Linked DNA regions of Cricetulus griseus. The protein of the gene in region 1 interacts with the protein of each later gene in a pairwise test. Links are inferred from orthologs where the notes say so. Each region holds a gene or a part of one and is shown in the gene's direction. Other genes may lie near its edges.

Evidence for each region. The genes of interacting proteins can lie anywhere in the genome.
Region 2: the proteins of Rhoa (region 1) and Ripor2 interact in binary tests that used the Homo sapiens proteins (3 or more experiments, as listed by UniProt). The link is inferred for Cricetulus griseus from reciprocal best matches to the Homo sapiens genes RHOA and RIPOR2.

The regions. Positions count from the first base shown.
Region 1 is NC_048597.1:216,504,125-216,514,851, forward strand, and holds the end of Rhoa (transforming protein RhoA), read left to right. Parts: intron 1-1,371; 5' UTR 1,372-1,373; coding exon 1,374-1,529; intron 1,530-3,632; coding exon 3,633-3,753; intron 3,754-4,791; coding exon 4,792-4,922; intron 4,923-6,358; coding exon 6,359-6,532; 3' UTR 6,533-7,644; downstream 7,645-10,727. UniProt on the Homo sapiens protein: Small GTPase which cycles between an active GTP-bound and an inactive GDP-bound state.
Region 2 is NC_048596.1:245,932,406-245,943,232, forward strand, and holds the start of Ripor2 (rho family-interacting cell polarization regulator 2), read left to right. Parts: upstream 1-5,487; 5' UTR 5,488-5,505; coding exon 5,506-5,606; intron 5,607-7,125; coding exon 7,126-7,281; intron 7,282-8,573; coding exon 8,574-8,652; intron 8,653-10,210; coding exon 10,211-10,234; intron 10,235-10,827. UniProt on the Homo sapiens protein: Acts as an inhibitor of the small GTPase RHOA and plays several roles in the regulation of myoblast and hair cell differentiation, lymphocyte T proliferation and neutrophil polarization.

The DNA.
Region 1 (10,727 bases):
CACCTGTTCCTCCTGCCTCTACTTTCCAAGTGCTAGGATTACAGGCATGTACTACCACACCTGGGTGTTCTTGGTGTTTTCATACAGTCTCACAATGCCCAAGTTGTTTTGTATGGTTTTGAGGTCTAGGGATTAAACCCAGGGTTTGGAAAATGTTAGTCAACTGTTCTACCACTTAGCTACATCTCCAGTCCTTAAAGGTACAGGGTAGTCCAGGCTTAAAATCATGTCCCAGTGTGTGTTGCAAAATTTAGTTTTGATTTTATTTTTCAAAATAACATATACTATAGCTTACACGGGCCTGGAACTAGGCATACCCTATGGTCTCATGCTGGAAGTAAGCCTCCTGCCTGTGCCTTCCAAGTGCTAGGATGACAGGCATGAGCCATCATGCCAATCTGTAAAATATTCATTTCCCAGGTTATTCATTGTTAGGGTATAAAAATACAGTTGCTGGCCGGGTGGAGGTGGTGCACACCTTTGATCCCAGCTCTTGGGAGGTAGAGGCAGGCCCATTTCTGTGAGTTCAAGACCAGCCTGGTCTACAAGAGCTAGTTTCAGGACAGCTTCCAAAGCCACAGAGAAACCCTGTCTTCAAAAACAAAAACAACAAGAAGAACAAAATGCAATTCTGTCTCTTGGCAGGTTTTCTATGCTGGTAATCTGAACTCGCCCTCATGCTTGATTAGCAAGCACTCTACTGAGCCAGCCCCTTGATGGATGGATTGTTTTGTTTATTATTTTTGTCTTGCTTTTGTTTTGAAACAGGGTCTATTGCGTTATTCATTCTGATAATTTGTATGTATTTTGTTTTGTTTTTGAGATAGAGTCATCATACTATTGTCCAGTCCCCATTTATAGTACCCCTTACTGCCTCAGCCCCTCAAAATTATAGGCACAAGCTACCATACCAGGCTCTGGTATTTTCTTCAGTAGATTCCTTAAAAATTCTTACCTAATGGTTTTGTATAGAAGTGACAAGAAGAAATGTCTGTTTTGTTCCTCATCTTATGGGATGGCTCTTTTTTGGTTTTGGTTTTGGTTTTGGTTTTTCAAGCCAGGTTTTCTCTGTCACTCTGGAGACCAGGCTGACCTCCAACTCACAGAGATCCGCCTGCCTCTGCCTCCCAAGTGCTGGGATTAAAGGCATGCGCCATACCGCCTGTGGGATGTTTCTTAATCTTTAATGTTAAGTATAGTTTTTGGTATGTAGCTTTTAGATGCCAAATAGAACATTGTTCCAGAATTTTTAATTTGGGAGTGCTAGTAAATGCTTCCTTCCTACCCCCATAGCCAGTAAAATGTGTCATAGTCTGGGGCTGCTTATGGATTCTTATACATTCTAGATAATACCTTTTGTTTATGTTTAAGGGATGGCTGCCATCAGGAAGAAACTGGTAATTGTTGGTGATGGAGCTTGTGGTAAGACATGCTTGCTCATAGTCTTCAGCAAGGACCAATTCCCAGAGGTTTATGTGCCCACAGTGTTTGAAAACTATGTGGCAGATATCGAAGTGGATGGGAAACAGGTGAGTTCAAGTTCCATAGTAACTGATTTCTTTGAATGTTAGGCTAGGCTGTTTTGTACACAGTGCAGCAGAAATGTTAGAAACAGAAGTTGATTTCCCCTGCCACCTTTCTTTTGGGATTCTGGTTGGTTGATTTATTAGTTAGTTTTTGAGACAGTTTCCTATAGCTCAGGCTGGTTTCTGTATCACTGTTGAACCAAGGCTGGCCTTAAACCCTTGATTTTCTAGACTCCATCTTGTTTTTATTTTTGAAATGGGGTCTCAAATATTCAGGATTTTTCTTCCTCAGCCAACTACATGAGGTCATTAATTACAGGTATGTGCAGTGATGCCCAGCTAGTATAGTATGTTAGATTAGCTGCTCTAAATTGAGGATTTATCATTGTAGATCCAGAAATACAAATAATATAGAGAATACAGGCTGGGCATGATAATTCAGGGAGGGAGGAAATCAGAGGACCTGAGTTCAGTTCCTAACACCCACATGGGCAGCAGGCGCACATTTTATGTAATTTGTGCATACATACAGTTAAAACATTCATACACATAATATAAAAATAAATAATTTTAAGTTTCAGATCAGCTTCAGCTAGAGAGTAAGAGGGTGCCCATTAAATAAATAAATTCAAAAATACGTTAACTAAAAGGGGGCTGGAGAAATGGCTCAAATGTTAAGAGCACTGACTGCTCTTCCAGAGGTCCTGAGTTCAATTCCCAGCAACCACATGGTGGCTCACAACCATCTCATAATGAGATCTGGTGCCCTGCTCTGGCATGCAGACATACATGGAGGCATGAAGTTTTTATTCATAATAATAAATAAATAAAATCTTTAAAAAAAATAGGTAACTAAAATAGATGAGTAAATGGAATTAGGGATGTAGCTCAGCTGGTAGAGCAAATGCGTTCAACCTCCAGTACCACCTGTGTGGCGGCTTGTTTCTGATCATAGTACTTGGCTGGTAGAGCTTGGAAAATCAGAAATTTAAGGTCATTCTCAACTACATTTGAGATAAACTAGGTGGAAATTTGTTGAGATCTTAGCATATATACTCAACTGATTTGGCCAGGTCAGCATTTTTGAAGGTCATTTCTCAAAGGCCTAGTGAATGTATTACTGATTTTATTATGACATTCCATCTGTATAAAGTAACTGTGAGGTGTTGTGTTTCTGTAACTATGCACTAAAAGGATAGTTTTGGGGGCCAACAGTATGTCCTCTTTGGCATATTAACTTAGCCTAGAGACAGGGTTTCTCTGTATCTTAGGAGGCTGTCCTAGAACCCACTCTGTAGACCACGCTGGTCTCGAACTCACAGATGCCTGCCTCTGCCTCCCGGGTGCTGGGATTAAAGGCATGAGCTGCCACTGCTCAGCCTACTGTTATCAATCATAATGTAAGTATCTTATATATTTGGTATATGACCCCTGTGAAAGTATCATTTGATTCCCAGGTTGAGGCCCACTCCTCTAACATATACCCTTTCTTGCTCTTAAAATTCATGGCCTCAGTGTGTGTGTGTGTTGTTGTCTCTAAATATATAAGTACAACAAACTCAGTCTGTATAACATTAACTTTATGTTATGTTTTCAGAGCTAACCATTTGGAATTGATAACTAGTTGGTGTACTCTTTTTCTGGGAAAGACTGTTTCTCCAGCTCTCAGCTGGAGTTGCCCTTAGTTCCTTGTGTAGGGTTTTATAAACTACAGTGGTTTATTAACTGGACATTTGGATGTATAGTGTTCTGTTTATAAATTTGCTACTTTGGCCCCGGTGGTGGCAGCGCAGGCCTTTAATCCCAACACTAAGGCAGTGGCAGGCAGATCTCTGTGAGTTCGTTACCAGTCTGGTCTACAAGAACTAGTTCCAGGACTGCTTCCAAAGCCACAGAGAAACCCTGTCTCGGGGTGGTGTGTGTGTGGGGGTGCTATTTTGATTATACTGTTTAAACAACCTGTATTTGATTCTCAAAAAGATGAATGGCACTTTTTACTATTTTGGACAGTTTGCTGTTTGTATATAGTGAGTGTCTTTTTTTTTTTTTTTTTAAATGGGTAGTAATATTAACGTTGCACTTATGTTGTTGTTTTTCCTATTGTAGGTAGAGTTGGCTTTGTGGGACACAGCTGGACAGGAAGATTATGATCGCTTGAGGCCTCTCTCCTATCCAGACACTGATGTTATACTGATGTGTTTCTCCATTGACAGCCCTGATAGTTTAGGTGAGTAGCTTTGCAGGCTGGTTGCTTGTCACTGCCTATTTAGATGTGAAGGATGTGTTTTGGGAGTCCTTTTCGTTAGTCAGTGGTTGCAAATCAAATATTCTGACATTATTTCAGAAAAGTAATCATGCCAGGAGTTGGTGGCTCACGCCTTTAATCCCAGCACTTGGGATGCAGAGGCAGGTGGATCTCTGTGAGTTTGAAGCCAGCCTGGTCTACAGAGCTAGTTCCAGGACAGCTAGGGCTGGTATACAGAGAAACCCTGTCTTAAAAAACAAAACAACAAAAACTCAAAGCTCACCTCCACAGTGACAAACTACTTCAAGGCCACACCTCCTTTTTGTGCCATTCCTGTGGGCCAAACATTCAAACTCATGAGTGTGTGTGGGCCATTCCTATTCAAACCACCATAAGAACCCAGAGCAAGGTAGAAAGAGAAAATGACCTTGGCAGCTATGACCTTTCTACCAGCAGTGACAGGCATGGCCTGTAGTGAGCCTTTTACTGTGGGGCAGAATCCAGAGCTCTTATTTGGATTCCCACCCCCCAAGAAGCTCAGCAACACCTTTTCACTCTTTGTTGGTTTTTGAGACAGGGTTTCTCTGTAGCTCTGGCTTTTAGAACTTGCTCTGTAGACCAGGTTGGCCTTAAACTCAGAGATCCTCTCACCTCTGACTCCTTAGTGCTGGTATTAAAGATATGCACTGCTACCGCCCAGCTTATTTTGCCTTTTTCTATGATTTTTGAGATTAATGGATTTTTAATTTTCATTATATAGTGCCCCAAATGTTCTTTTAATGGTGTGTGTATACTTGAAGGTCAGAAGACAGTAAGGAGGAAACAGTTCTCTTGTACCACTAACTGGAGTCCCGTTGGTGACAAGCACCTTTACCTGCTAAGTGATCTTGCCAGCCCCTGATGTGCTTTTGAAACAACAGTGGAAAGGGAAATGCCCTTAAAATTTAACTAGGGTTCTTAGAGTTCTTCAAAAATGGAATTAGAATTTATTCTCAAATACTGTACATTTTTTTCTTTCAGAAAACATCCCAGAAAAATGGACTCCAGAAGTCAAGCATTTCTGTCCCAATGTGCCCATCATCCTGGTTGGGAACAAGAAGGATCTTCGGAATGATGAGCACACAAGACGGGAGTTAGCCAAAATGAAGCAGGTATGGTGTGGGGGTGGGAGGAACTGGAGTTTGGTTTTCCTTTTTTTAAATCAAGTCTCACTGTGTAGCCTTGGCTGGTCTGGAATTCAGACATCTGCTTACCTCTCTGTTTCCTGAGTGCAAGGATCTTAAGGTGTGCCCCACTACACCTAGCTTTCCCTATTGTAGTCTTAAATTTTGTCACCCTGAGGAAACCCTCACAAACCATGCTATTACAGAATACCAGAAGTCCTTTGCAGACCCAACCTTCATTGGCCTGACCAAAAGGATTTCCAGAGGCTCCTTAATCACTAAGATGGAATGTCTCTTAAGAGTTAGATGTGTTCCTAAGGACTGGCACCCTAGGAAGAAACCATCTCAGCAGAAGTTACTGCTTCAGATACAGGCAGCTCCTTTCCCTCTCCAGTGGCCAAAGAAACGGGATACCCTAAAGGTAGTTATTAGTCCATGCAGAAGGTCCAAATTCCATTTTAATAAATAAATCTTGACCTTTCAGGAACCAGGTGCTCTAATGTCAGAACTTCTCTAGCGAAGGAGTGTTAACATATTTAACCCAAAGAAACCCAGGTTTCCACTCTTGACCTCAGTGTTAAGGCCAGGCTCTAGCCATTAGCAGGTATTCAGTCTCTAAAGCTATATAGAGGCAATAAATGCTCTTGTTATTATCTAACTTGTGCCCTTGCACTGTACTCAATAAACTATTTTTGGGCAGGGAGTACAGTTCAGTGTCTTGCTTAGCACCAGTGTATAGCAAAAAAGGTTATGTATTGCCCTGAATTCCTTACTCAGTCTCCCAGTTTTTCTGACCTCTCTCTGCCTACAATAAAAGAGCAGGTTTAAGACATTAGTTTCAGGGTATGCATATACGTTTTGAGAATTTTATGAAAGAGCTTAGAGCTGGGCAGTGGTGGTACACACCTTTAATCCCCACACTTGGTATCTCTGTGAGTTTGAGGCCAGCCTGGTGTACAGAGCTAGTTCCAGGATAGCAGGCTACACAAAGAAACTGTGTCTCAAAAAACCACAATAAATATAACAGCTTAAAGCAGGGTTGATTGAAGTCTTTTCAGCCAAGAGTGGTGCCATGTGCCTATAGTTCCAGCTGTTTAGGAGTTTGAGGCAGGAGAATCATCAGGTCATCCTCAACAACATAAACATAGGCCCTGTCTCAAACAAAACAGAAAAACAGTCTTAAGCCGGGTGGTGGTGGCACACACCTTTAATACCAGCACTCGGGAGGCAGAGGATCTTTGTGAGTTCAAGACCAGCCTGGTCTACAACTACCAGCTAGTTCCAGGACAGCCTCCAAAGCCACAGAGAAACCCTGTCTCAAAGAAAGAAAGGAAGGAAGGAAAGAAAGAAAAGAAAGAAAGTCAATAAATGCTTTGTATCTTCCTAAGTAAGACTGAGCTGAAGCTCTCTTCTCTCTCTACTAGGAGCCGGTAAAACCTGAAGAAGGCAGAGATATGGCAAACAGGATTGGCGCTTTTGGGTACATGGAGTGTTCAGCAAAGACCAAAGATGGAGTGAGAGAGGTTTTTGAAATGGCCACGAGAGCTGCTCTGCAAGCCAGACGTGGGAAGAAAAAATCTGGGTGCCTCATTTTGTGAAGCCTTGTGCAAGCACAGCCCTCATGCGGTTAATTTTGAAGTGCTGTTTATTAATCTTAGTGTATGATTACTGGCCTTTTCATTTATCTATAATTTACCTAAGATTACAAATCAGAAGTCATCTTGCTACCAGTATTTAGAAGCCAACCATGATTATTAATGATGTCCAACCTGTCTGACCAGCCAGGGTCTTTCTGACACTGCTCTAACAGCTCTCTCTGCACTCCACCTGACACCAGGCGCTAAGTCAAAGAATTTCTTAACTTCTTGCTTCTTTCTAGAAAGAGAAACAGTTGGTAACTTTTGTGAATTAGGCTGTAACTACTTTATAACTAACATGTCCTGCCTCTCATCTGTCAGCTGCAGGGAACTCTGGTGAGTCACTAAGGCAGAGCTTTACTCCTTAACAGATTACATTGGCAGAGCTCTGGGGAAGGCATCCAGGGTTTTGAGAACTTGCTCAGCCAGAAAGGCCGAAGTCCACGCAGCTGTGGCAGATTTGCAGTTCTGTGGTCTCATGTTAGTTACCTTATAGTTACTGTGTAATTAGTGCCACTTAATGTATGTTACCAAAAATAAATATATCTACCCCAGACTAGATGTAGTATTTTTTGTATAATTGGATTTCCTAATACTGATATTTGTCATTCCCACAGAACGTGTATTGTTTTTTGTTTTTTCTTTTCTTTCTTTCTTTTTTTTTTTTTTTAAGAAAGTGTATTTGGAAATAAAGTCAGATGGAAAATTCATTTTTAAAATTCCCATTTTGTCACTTTCTCTGATAAAATATGGCCATATCTCCCCTATTCAGCCCTATATATCACCCCAGTACCCCTTTCCAGACTGAACTAAGTAAATAGAAATTTGGTTTCACGCCTGAGGCAGTTACACCTTTGAGGTGGCATAGCCTTTCTCACCTGGACTGCAGGGTCTGGCTCTAAGTCACAGTGCTCCTTTATCCACACTGTATCCAAGTTGCCTCCCAGGGGAGCCACCAGTTCTTAAGGGTGGCAAGGGAGGTTTTCTCTTCTCTCCAGCTGACTAAACTTTTTTTCTGTACCAGTTAATTTTTCCAACTAATAGAATAAAGGCAGTTTTCTAAACTTCCTGTATCCTGGTGTGTGTTTTGCTTTCAACTGGGCTAGGGACAGGAGATGGAAGACTCAGCTTGCATGGTTCTAGCTCCTTCCACTCTCAAGCTCATCTAGACTAACGTGGCTCCTCCCATGAACATGAAATGACTATCCTGTACACATCCAAATCTAAAAAGAGGAGTCGGGGGCCCTGTAAGGTGAAGGGGGAGCTGGATTTTCTGGACTAAGACCAAGCGGGGGGAGGGGGCAGAAAAATAGGACCACCAGAGACATGGATGTTGGAGTGCTCTTGTCCTGAGAAGGGCTGATGCCTCTGTCGTCCGCCTTCCACCTAACCCTTTCTAAAACAGCCACAGGAACTCACTCTGACAGCCAGTTCTCAGTACTATTAGAAACAACACAGCGGGGCACACCTTTAATCCCGGCACTTGGGAGGCAGAGAGGGAGACCAGCCGCGTCTACAAAGCGAGTGCCAGGACAGCCTCCAAAGCTACACAGGGAAACCCTGTCTTGAAAAACCAAAACAACAAAAAGCCTCCTAAAAGAAAACTCCATACAACATGACTAGGAGGGGAAAGTTACACAATATAAGTGAGCTGCTTCAGCCGTTACGGACTGCGGCCAGCTTCCTAGGCGGGACCCTAGACTAATTAAACCGTGAAGAGTCGCCATGGCGGTTGCCTCTAAACCAGTACTGCATTGCCTGGGCTAGACCAGACGCGCCCAAGACTCCGCTAGGCGCTTGGACCCGCCGCACCCTCTGGGCTGGCCCTAGCTGGGGGAGGGTAGAGGCCGGATAAGGCGGGACCCTGGAACCTAGAGCGGGCTGTGGGGCCGGAAAAAAGCGGATACCACGTGACCTCACCATCTACCAGTTAAAGGGGGGTGCTGGGCTCCCACTGCACCAGTGTGGCTTCTGTTTTGAGCTCACCAGCTTCTGCATCATGTGTGCAGCCCGGCTCTCCGCGGCGGTGCAGTCCACCGTGTATGCCTTCTCCGCGCGCCCGCTGACGGGCGGGGAGCCCGTGAGCCTGGGCTCCCTGCGGGGCAAGGTGCTGCTCATTGAGAATGTCGCGTCCCTCTGAGGAACAACGACTCGGGACTACACCGAGATGAACGATCTGCAGAAACGCCTCGGGCCCCGTGGCTTGGTGGTGCTCGGTTTCCCGTGCAATCAGTTCGGACATCAGGTGTGCGGGGCAGGGTCGGGAGGAAGGGGCCCCGGGCTCCCAGAGGCGGGATACCCGCTCACTTTCCCTCTGGTGTTGGTAGCAGTTGGAATTCAGGCCTGTACCGGGGTTGTGCAAGGCGGGCAATTCCTGGTGACTCATGGGAAACTCCTGTTTTGCAGTGTTTTCTGAAATCCTAGACCATAAATGCTTTTGTCTCCTCTAGGAGAATGCCAAGAACGAAGAGATTCTGAATTCCCTCAAGTATATCCGACCCGGTGGGGGGTTCGAACCCAACTTTACATTGTTCGAAAAGTGCGAGGTCAATGGTGAGAAGGCTCACCCGCTCTTTACCTTCCTGCGGGAGTCTCTGCCAGCGCCCAGTGACGATCCCACTGCGCTCATGACAGACCCCAAGTACATCATTTGGTCTCCGGTGTGCCGCAACGACATTGCCTGGAACTTTGAGAAGTTCCTAGTGGGCCCCGACGGTGTTCCAGTGCGCAGGTACAGCCGCCGCTTTCGCACCATCGACATTGAACCTGACATAGAAGCCCTGCTGTCCCAGCAGCCTAGAGGCTCCTAAGGCATTCCTGGCATCCGGGTTTGGTGAGCTCCGGCTGCACTCTGGGGGAAGTTCTTCCATGATGGCGTTATCTCTAAATTTGCATGGAGAAACACCTGATTTCCAGGGAAATTCCCTCAGATGGCGCTGGTCTTGTCCATCCCCGCTGCCTTTCTGCCTAAACAAAGGTGATTTTCACCACTAATAAAGTGCTGAATGTCAAAGAACTGTATGTGTGTCCTGTGTCAATGTCACCTTTTTGATAACCTCATTGTCAAGGACAAGGAACTTAATCATGAAGTCTGAACTAACCTTTTGACTGCATCTTGTCCTTTCCTTTCTCCCTCTACCAGGACAAGCTTAAGGGTGGTCCCAGGTCCCTGTTACAGCAGTCCTTACTCCACAAAGAGGAAGGCAGTAAGCGCGAGGGCTAACCGCCTGATGCTTAGGGCTGCCTAATCCCAAGAGTCAGCTCCTTTCTGAGTTTTGCTGGGTTTGGAAATGGTCACAGGCCCTTAGTCACATTAGGACTCTAGAATCGGGTTTGGGATTTAGCTCAGTGGTAGAGTTAAGACCCTGGGTTTGGTCCTCAGCTCCAAGGGGAAAAAAATCTGGAGTCTAGATCCTTCCCTAAGTGTTAAGACCCACATAAGTCTGTTTTGCACAGCCTTGTATAATGTTACCAGCTTCTCCTTTGCTGCATCTTTCCATATGCTACCCCTTGCTTTTAAGTTCTGCTGGGTGTTGATGGAGTCAAAGTGAAAAGGCAGTGGTCATGCCTCTCTCTAGTGCATGACAGTGGGGAGGAAGATCTGAGACAAGTCCAGACTATTTGACAAAATATGTGGGGTTTACACTGTTTTGTGTGGAGATGTAGTTCCTAGCACTGGGGTACAATTGCACATTTAGGCCTAGAGTAGAACATATCTTAAGGCCCAGCAGCTGCTCGGGTTCCACCCCTTCATTATCTCAGGCCCACCTGGAGCTGTTTCTTATCACAGGCTCTGGAGACTGCTGTAACCAGGGTCAGCTGTTGGGAACATGAACCCAGAGACTTGTGGGCTGTGAAACAGCCTATAGTGTATGTGTGCTGAACTGGCTGTAAAGGTCTTCCTACACCTGAACCAACAAAAAAATTTCCCCTGATTCTAAACAAATGTGTATACATTTAGGTAGGGACTAAACCTATGCCCTCACACATACTACAAAAAATTCTTGCCAAAAAAAGGCTATGTAGCCCAAGGTGACCCCTAACTCCCAGCAATTCTGGCTCTGTCTCCTGATTGCTAAGATGACTGACTGCCACCATGCCTGGCTAGCCTGTACTAACATTCTACTAACCTCCACCAAGTGCCAGGATTACAGGT
Region 2 (10,827 bases), on another chromosome or scaffold:
GTGGTCCTGTAGGTGGAGTAAACAGCGTGATTCCCTTCCCTGCCTTGTTCCTGGTCTTCTCTATTTCCCTGATGTTGGGGACAGTTTTTATGCCTATGAAATTTTAAAAGACAAAAACTTAACAATTCCTGTTTTCCTTCGTGAAACGAATTCACTGTTGTTATGTCAGCAAAGCCTTCCTTCTGGCTGCCTGGGTGGTTTCCTACTTGCCTTCATTCCTCAAAGCCTCTAAGCACTTCTGCTTTGAACTCCTCATTGTAAAGACCCATGCCTAGCAGATGTGAGCAAATCTGTTGTAGATCTGCCCCTTGTCATACCTAACCCTGGTAGTCCTGGAGGAGCTGTTGACGCTTGAAGAGAGTAATATGTAAACACAAGCTAACCCAACCACAGCATGTTTTATAAGTCGGAATCCCAGCTAATGAAAGCATAATGCAAAGAACTGTCACCCAGGCTCATTCCCAGACATCTTCCCATCACTTCTATGAATTCTGGTGGCATTAATGAGCTATGTTCTTTGTATTCAGTCTCCAAGCAGCGAGCCTTCCAACTGTGATTCCCATCACTGGCTTTTTAGCATCAGGTTATTTCTAAGTTCTCTGGGTAGCCCTGATTTGCAGTTCTGTCCTTTCTGGACCAATCCCAGTGTGAGACTTGGTGCAGTGATGGGGAAGCAACCAGTCCCCTTAATCCCTTCCCATCTGCCTCCACTTTTCCTCCACTTCCTGGCTCAGTGCTCTTGTCTCAAACCTGCCTTCTGATTCAGCAAAATCTCATCATTCTAATTTCAAAAGATCCTGGTGTGTGTGTGTGTGTGTGTGTGTGTGTGTGTGTGTGTGTGTGTGTGTTGGTACCAAAAGAGAGCACCAGGTACCCTGGAGCTGTGTTACATACAGGAGGATGTAAGCCATCTAGTCTGGGTGCTGGAAACCAAACTAGGGTCCTTTATAAGAGAAGCAATCATCCTTAGCTACTGAACCACTTCTCCACACACACAACCCCCCCCCTTCTAGGTTTTAATGCATAAAGATGAATATTGACTCAACTGTAGTTTTCAAAAAGACCAGTCTTTTTGTTTTTTAATTGTTTTATGTGTATGAGTGTTTTGCCTGCATGTGTGTATGTGTACCATAGGCATACATATATATACAACACATACATACAATGTCAAAGGGGCCAGAAGAGGGAATCAGATCCCTGGTACTGGAGTTATGGTTGTGAGCCACCATGTGATAACCTTCCTCTGGAAGAGTAGCCAGTGTTTTTAACAGCTGAGGTATCTCTCCAGCTCCAAAAAGTCTTCTTTTGCAAAGCTCCAGCAGTCCTGAATATGAGTAACAGCATCCAAAAATGAGTCTGTAGTTTGATATGAAACTCTGCTTATTGGAAATGCTTTTGATGAAGCGTAGCAATCTAAATCTGGTGTGATCTCTAACAGTTTTGAATGAGAGTCAGGAAGTTGTTATATATCTCAAAATTCAAAATAAGGACATTATGGGAATTGTGACTTGCTTGAATCCACTCAAAATATTTGAAATTTACTACTACCTTGTTTCTTAGAAATCATATTTCTTCTCTGTAAGACATAAATAAAAAACCAAAGTTGGCACCCCAAAGCTACCTTATATGATTTCTTTTTTTTTTCTCGAGACAGGGTTTCCCTGTGGCTTTGGAGGCTGTCCTGGAACTAGCTCTTGTAGACCAGGCTAGTCTCAAACTCACAGTGATCCACCTGCCTCTGCCTCCCGAGTGCTGGGATTAAAGGCATGCGCCACCACCGCCCGGCTCTTACATGATTTCTGAAGTAAGCTGTCTTCTCTCCACTCCCAACTCCAAGGGCCTGGAATCTCAAGAAGGAAATTTCACATCCATGAATAATACATGCATTAATCTCTATAAGACCAACATGCAGAAAATACTACAATGTTGCTGACTACCATTCAATCCCACAGCCCATGACAACTGTCTATGCTTCCATAACTTTTCCATCCATTTGCATAGTTCTCTATGACTTTGTTTTTTATTATTCTTAATATTATACTGTTGCCCAGTATGCCCCTAGGGTTTATTTCTTTAAGAAAATCATATGACAGTTTAGTATTACTATTGGATTTTTGAGACAGAATCTTACTATACATCCCAAGACAGGCCTTGAATTCACTCGTCTTGTTTCAGCCTCCTGAGTGTTGGGATGACATGCATGCACGACTCTGCCTATCATTGTTTTCACTATGACAGAGTTTTCTACCTTAGTGATTATGCCACAACGCATTAACCACTTCTGTAATGATTTGTGTGCATGCATGGTGCTTGGCATTGAACCCAGGGTCTTGCGAGTGATGGGCAAGCATTCCACAGGCTTAGTAACATGAATACTGAATAGCAAGCATGGTAGACAATAATCCCAGCATTCAGGGGACTAAGGCCAAACCTGGGCCCCATAGTGAATTCCGGGCCAGCCTGAGTTATATAACAATACCCGGCCTCAATGTAAATAAATGAATATAAAATAGAAATAAAAGGAAGAATAAAATTTAAGAAAACATTTGAATTTGTTCAATTGTAATGTTCTTCTAGGTTTTACATTTTTCCCAACATTACAGTTTTTCCTCTGTTCTCTTGTTCTCCTTTTTTGTTTCAAGTCTATCTTAAGTGCAAGTGATTGTGTATGGAATTTCTAAAGCAGTATCATCCCAACTCTGCCCAACATCAAAACACCTGAGGGGCCTTTTGAACAGCTGTATAAACAGGTCATTGCCTGTATTAATTATCCTAGAATGCCTGAGGCTTGGAGCCAGGCCACTGTAGCTTAATCTACTGTTGTAAAGAATTAGAGAGAGACAAAAGTCTTTGGAGTTTAAAAAGAAAATCAAACTTCAGCATACTTTTGTGCTAGCACAAAGGAGCAATGGTAGCAAGCTCATCACAAGTATAAGACCAGTCTTCTCTATGCAGCAAGTTCCAGGCCAGTCAGTTCTGCATGGTGAGACCCTGCCTACAGCTAAGATAGGAGAATTGATATGAGTTCAAAGTCAGCCTGGGCAGCTTAGTGAGTTCCAAGACAATTCAGGCTACATAGTGAGACTCTATCTCAAAACATCACACCAAGAGGAATATATACACATAACTTCTAGGAAGTGTGAAAGTCAAATATTTTAAACAGCCTTAAAGCTTATTCATGTTTTAATCAAGTGTCTGTGCTTCATTAGACCTGATGAACAATTTACAACATGAGACACGATACTAATAAGATTCCTCAAGATGTGGCTGCAGAGAAAACTCAGATATTAAGACCACTGGCTGCTTTTCCAGAAGGCCTGAGTTCAATTCCCAGCACCCCATTTAGCAGCTCACAACCATCTATAACTCCAGTTACAGACGCCATCTTCTGGCCTCAGCTAGCACTTTGAGTTTGTGGTGCACAGACATGTTTTCAGGCAAAAGAACCATACACATAAAATAATAACATGAAATTTAAAAGATTTGTGAAGTTGATACTTAATGAGATTAGGTTTTGGTTGTCAAATTATTGAATACAGGAGTGAGAGTGAATCTCAGTGATAGAGCCCCTGACTACCATGGGGGAGGCCCTGGTTTCCATCCCTAGCACCAAGGGAAAACAAGCATAAATCAATGGAGTGAAGAACACAAGCCACAATGCCCTCTTCATGATGTTTAGAAGTTTGCAGGTGACATCATGCTGTGTGGGCTGGCTCTGTGAGCCCAAGGACCATGTCCTCAGTGAAATGTAGATAGAAACCTAAGGACCAGAGAGAGCAATTATGGGAACTTGTTGAGGAATTCAAGAAACTGGGCTTCTCTGTGGAGTAACGAGGGACAGCTTCATTGTACCTAGTCACTGCGCACAGCCCATTAGCTTTACAGATTTCTATTTCATTACATTTAAAAGTCTAGAGTATCCCTTCTGTCTTTGGTAGCTATGAGGTTTCTGTCCCATCCCATGGAAAAGCCAGCTTACTTTTCATCCCCAGACTGACTTCCCAGTGAATGAGCACCTTGTCCCCAGCAATAAGGAATTTAAAGCCCTGTGGCAGTGTGGAAGGGAGTCTGCTCCCTGAGAGTTTAGCTTTTCTCTCTTTCTCCTAGGTCCCTTAAAGAACAATGGGTGATGCTAATTGGTGTGTGTCTACCTTGGGAGGTTTCAATGTGGGCACTCACCTATTCCTAGTAGCTCAGCCCCTGTCTGGGCTGATGTCACCTGCTGAGACAATGGTACATACTTTGGTTGACTATGGGTAGGGTTACTTCACAGTTCTAGGACAGTCCCTTGGGGGACTAACCTTGGGCCTCTGTTCAGTTGAAGTTGTGTTTTGACACTGCACCTTAGTCTGTCACAGGGAATCTTCACAAAGCCAAACAAACAACTGAAGAAAGGTTCAAAAAGGCTGGAGGCCTACCTCTCTTGCCTTCTTATCTAACCCAGATTATCACTTCCTTTGTGAGCACCCCTTCTACCCTTTCTTACTTGCCCAGCCAACTTAGTGAGAAAGGGGGAGAGAGTTTAAATAAGTTCATCTTTGAAGAAACCTCGTGTTTTCAGCCTTAAACATAAAATCCCATCCGTAGGCCTGATGATGTTTTGAATTTCAGGTTGTTAGACAATCTGAAATTTTGATGGTGGCTCATTTGTGCAGGGTTGTTGTTGCAACTGAATGGACTGGACCATCACAAATGTTCTTATCTTTAGTAAACCTTGGTTGAACCTAAGAAAGAAGGGGGGCTGGGTAAAAGGAAGGAGAAGGGAGAGAAGAGAAAGAGGGAGAGAGAAGGAAGGGAGGGAGGGAGGGAGGGAGGGAGGGAGGAGGGAGGGAGGGAGGGAGGGAGGAAGGGAAGGAGGAAGGAAGGAAGGAAGGAAGGAAGGAAGGAAGGAAGGAAGGAAGGAAGAGTGGGCACTCCTAAGAAAACATGCGTCGGTTGGGAAGATGGGGACTGGCTCAGTGAGTAAGTGTGCAGCCTGAGGATAAAGTGCCAGTTGTCAGCACCCACATGAATTCTGGGAAGGCGTAGCAGCCGGCCTATAATTCCAACACTGTGAAGTTGAAAACAGGGGATCCCTGGAGCAAGTTAGCTAAGTCAACTAGCCATATTGTCAATTTCTGCACTTGGTTGAGAGACTGCCACAATGAGTAAGATGAACACTGTCTGGGAAGATTCCTACCATCACCTTAAGAATCCACACGTATATGCACACGTGCCCGTACGCATGCAAACACACATAAACATATGTGCATCATATACACATACCCCCAAAGGAAACCTAAGTGGCAGGAACTTGTGTGATAATATTTACTTTGGTATAAATGAGTATCTTTTTAGGAAAGTCTCAGAAGCATTTCATGGCCCTCATGACCAGGACCTCGTGAGTCACTTAACCTTGTACACCTGTGGATGTCGACAAGCTCAGTGTTTCTGTGCGAACCTGCCTGACAGTCATCATGGTCTTCCATCTATCTTACAGGACTGCCAACCAGACTCCCAGAAATCATGCTGGTGGGATCTCAATCCTTCTCGCCTGGAGGGCCCAATGGCATCATCCGGAGCCAGTCCTTCGCGGGCTTTAGCGGCCTGCAGGAAAGGCGATCCAGGCAAGTGCTGGGTGCTCCTCCTGGGATGCAGCAGAAAAGAGGCAGGAGCTGATGATGGTGTGTGTGCCACACCAACGTGCATGTGTGTGGTAGTTAATGTCCTCTTCACGGAAAACATAACTCACCCAGAGTTAAGTGCAGTCATTATATCACTCAGAATTTCTTGTGCAAAGATGTGTGTATGTAAATGGCTAGCTCATCCTAGCTATTATGAGCAGTCATGTCCTCACTTTTGGGGACATGACTCATCAGAGGTATGGTTGGGGGGATGGTTTTTAATGGAGATATGAGGGAAAGTAAAGCTAGGGGCATCTGGAAGAGTCCAGAGCTTGGAGAGAAAGTAATACACTGAGCATGGCCAGCAGACTAGACTAGGCCATGGGGTGGGTGTGTGGTGGGGGAGTGGGAGAGGGGGCCAAGAAAGGTGGCAAAGAGGGCCAAGAAAATACATGGCTGAAATGGCAGGGTTGTATAGGAATCAGACACTAGGGGAAGGAAAGCCCATGAGCTGGAAAAGGTTAGTACTGGAAGCGGGTGAGAAGAACCAGGGTGCCAGCATGGACTCTGTAACAGGTACTTGCCACACTGAAAGAGCCTGGAGGCAAGTGTGCACTTTGGTATGCTAATAGGTACCACAGTTAGCCATGGACCTAAGAGTGTGGACTCCCTCCTGCCTCATTTCCAACCCCTTTAAAGCACACTTACCATTACCTTCCTGTTTTGGAGACTGTATTTGGTATGAAAGTAGACAGTGAATGAAGACCATGCCTCAGCGTGACCCTGGGGAGTTGGGAAATTAGGCCCTACCTTCCCTGGAATCACCTCCTCTCATAAACCCAAGGAAGTACAGAGAGTGAATGGGTAACATGCAAGGAAACTCATCTTTGGTTTGTCTGATGGCTGATGCTCTCCCTTTCCAAAGGAGCTCCAGGTTTAAAGACAGACTCTGTCTAAAAAAAATAAGAAGAAGAATGATTAAAAAACAATACCCAAAAGTCGGTGTCTGACTTCCATACACGTGTGCACACACATGCACTAGCCCCTTCACATACACACACACAGATCCCATATGCAAAAAAACAGAATTCAAAAAATAAAGTAAAATAATATAAATAATACTCCAAGGAGAGTTCTGAGTACAAGCTACATGTGGTTTTGTTTGTATAAGTTTGTATCTGATATTATGCAAAGAACTTTCTTTCTTTTAGTTTGATATAACTTCTACCTGTTCATTGTTTCCACCTGGAACATTTATTCCTGGCTCGCTTTGAGCTAGACTGCAAGGGCACCCTCAAAAGACATACAACTCAAAGCTAGGCTATGCCACAGGGTAGCCTCTGCCCAGCGAAACTTTCAACAAACATCAAGAAAGGAAATGTGGTCAGTTGGGATCTGTAGCTGTCCAGGGTCATGTTACCTTTATCCAGGGCACAGGATGAAGGCAAGAAGATTTAAAAGGCGTTTCCCTGGTGGGTCTTTCTGATGTCTGAGACTCACAGTCTCCTTTCTCTTTCTTTAGGTGTAACTCCTTCATTGAAAATGCCTCTGCTCTCAAGAAGCCTCAGGCCAAACTGAAGAAAATGCACAATTTAGGACACAAAAATAACAACACTCCCAAAGAGCCTCAGCCAAAGAGAGTGGAGGAGGTCTATAGAGCCTTGAAAAATGGACTTGAGTAAGAACAATAGACTTGACAAAGCACTTTGGGCATTTTTCCTTCCTAAAATAACCCTTTTCCTTCCTAAAAGCTAATAGCCCGGCCCTATTTTATTTTATTTATTTTTTTATTTTTTTATTTATTTTTGGTTTTTTGAGACAGGGTTTCTCTGTGTAGCTTTGGAGCCTATCCTGGCGCTCGCTCTGGAGACCAGGCTGGCCTCAGACTCACAGAGATCCGCCTGCCTCTGCCTCCCGAGTGCTGGGATTAAAGGTGTGCGCCACCAATGCCCGGCATATATTTTGTTTGGTTTTGAGGCAGAGTCTCATGTGGCTCAGGCTGGCCTTGAACTCCCTATGTAGACAACGATGACTATGCAGTTCTGACCCCGTCTCTACCTGTCAAGTGCTGGGACTGCAGAAGAAAAAAGCATACTTCGCTGGGTGTTTCCTTCCAGTTCTATAATTGAGGAAGCTTTTAGTAAGTCTCCTAGATGGGAGACAGTTGGAATTGCATGTATACATGACACTGAAGCAGGATTGACACGGCGATGTGTTTGTAGTGTCCATGTGTTTATTGTTAAGTGAAATCCAATCCCTGCAGGGTTGGACTTTATTTAGACGGTGGTGGACAGCCATAGCTGCACTAGAGATTGCTGAGGAAGGGTTCTGAGCCCAGTGTGGTGGATCCCACCTGTAATTCTACCCAGCACTCAGGAGGCCAAGGCAGGAGGATCATCAAAGGGTCAAAGTCAGCCTGGATGGCGTAATATACAACCTGCCTCAAACATATACACATGTAAACACGCTATAAAGGGTTCTGAAACCATTTGTCCAGAAGAAACCTTGCCTAGCATTTGGTAAGGCACCTGCAGTCACTACAAGGTGACAAAACTGTGTGACCAAACTCCTGCCTGACTCTTCCCTCCCAGTTGACTTTTCATTTCTGGGTTTTCATCTTCACAGGGACATCCCCTTCCCTGCCCCATCTCTCGCCCTCTCTTCAAACTAGACAAGATCAGATGTAACTACTAGTGTTTCCAAAATGCTCCCCAGCCACGGAGCAAAGTTTTGATTCTTTTTCCAAGAGGAGAGAGAGGCAGGGTCTCACTCTGTAACCCAGGCTCGCCTGGGAGTTACTGTAAAGCCCAGGCTGGCCTAGAATACTTATTAGTCCTGTTTCAGTCTCCCATGTACTGAGATTATGGTGTGACTGACTGAGATTCCTATTCTTAACTCAAAAGGCAAAGGTCAGCAACTGCCAAGGTCCCTCCGGAAGTGAGAGCTCACCATGATGTCTTATGTTTGCAGTGAGTACCTGGAATTTCACCAGACGGAGCTGGACAAGTTGACCGCTCAGTTAAAAGATATGAAAAGAAACTCTCGCCTGGTAAGTCCCTCTGACCACGAGGATGCTAACATAAGGTGGGGGGGTAGGTGTTTCCACTCCTAGCTTACCAGAGGTGGGGAGGGGAGGGGAAGAGAGAAATGCTTAACAAAGCTATGTTTTGGAAGGAAGAAGATCTGAGCATGGTGGTTCACAACTGTAATCCCTGCTGGAGGAAGGCTGAGACAGGAAAATGGCCAGCCTGGGCTATACTATAGTGAGACCTTGTCTCACACACTAAATAAATAAATAAATAAATAAATAAATAATAGGAAAAAAGATTATTTTCTTTTGAAAGCTTTATTCTTATTTCTTCTGAGCATGTGCTATGTGTTTATATAGATATACTTCATAGTGAAATAAAGATGATAAGGATGGTTTTTGGAAACTCCCCTAAGTAGGGCTGGAGAGATGGCTCAGTGGTTAAGATCACTGGATGCTCTTCCAGAGGTCCTGAGTTCAATTCCCAGCACCCACATGGCAGCTCGTGATCTGGTACCCTCTTCTGGTATACAGACATACATGCAGACATAGCACTCATATATATGAAATACATAAATAAATCCTTGAAAGAAAAGAAAACTCTCTGTAATATAACAAAATATGTTGCTGTTTTCCTAGTATCACCTTAGTTCATTCAGAATTCAGAAACAAGAACTTTTTTTTTGCTCTACTTCCCACTTGTAAATATGGGTCAATGTCCTAGTTTGCTTCCTATTACTATGGTAAACACCGTAGCCAAATGCAACTTGCAGAAGAATTTATTTTAGTTTATAGACTATGCTCCATCATAGAGAGAGGTCAGGCAGAAACCTGGAGGCAAGAGAAGACCATGGAGGAACACTGCTTTACTGTCTCTTCCTCCTGTCTTGCTCAACCCGCTTTCTTATAGTACTCAGGACCAAGTGTTCAAGAGTGGTACCGCCCACAATGGGCAGGACTCTCCCACACCACAGACTTGCCTACATGCCAACCTGAAAGCATTTTTCTCAATTGACGGTCCACTTCTCAGATGACCCTGGCTTGTGTCAAAAACTAACCAGCTCAGCCAGTGGCAGCAGTTAGGGAAGTAGGGAAGAAGGTCACTAAGGCCAGAGTGAAAGCATCTTTGAGTCCCATGCTGGATGGAGAATGTGCTCTATTCTGATGAATTTGTGAGGACTGACTTTGTTCACACCCAAGTGTTATTTATCACACCTTAGCCTTTCAGGGCAGCACAAAACCCCAGGCAAGTCTGCATAGGTAGGCCTTGCAGTTGTGTTTATCTTCCACTTCTGACAGACAGACTTCTCTGGGTTTTCTTTATGAACCCTTAAAGCTGCCGAGAGGCCGGAAAGCATAGGGTGCAGTCATAGAATCACAGAGGTGAGGTGATGCTGGCTCTTGAGAGTATTCCAAATAACCCAGAGTTCTACTCAGTAAAAGCAGATACCAAAAAATCCAGTAAATTTTGTGGGGCTGTGATTCCTTCTCAAGCAATGTAGAAATGTGAGCCGCGCCGCTTATTACGGCATTTCTGAGGATGATGTGTTATAACCAGGGGCTCTTCTTTTTATTTCAGGGTGTGCTATATGACCTAGACAAGGTAGGCTATCGTTCTGTGTTGGGGTGTTGCTGGAAGTGAAATTCTGCACTTTGAGCAGATGTCAGTAAGAGACCCTGGGGTAGACAGTACAAGTCCAGATAAAGGATGATTTTCTCATCTTGGGAAGAAAAATCGTTTTCGTTGTTGTTGTTAAAGGATGAATGAGCATTAGGCACTCCAGAATCAAAGGGCATTTGGCTTGAGGGGAAACAGGGCCTCCTGGTTGTGTGTTTGCTCTGGTTTCTGTGAGTCTGGAACTTGGATGTAGAGGTCCTTTCCATGTGGCCTTTAAGTAGATGTCAAATATGAGACATCTCTGATCAGAAAATGCCACAATTGTTTATGTGCCACTAAAATATATATTTTCACTACATATTCCATATATAATTTAATGTTTAAAAAAATAAAAATAAATTATTAAATAGAAAATCATTACACTTAAATCTAGTTCTTTCTTTTCACATAATATGTATACATATACATATATATTCTTACTGACAAAATTCTTTCAGGCCTTTTAGAAGTGAGATTTTTATGTCTTCCTTTTTAGTTGTATACAATGTGACTCTCCATGCCATTCTATATACATAGCT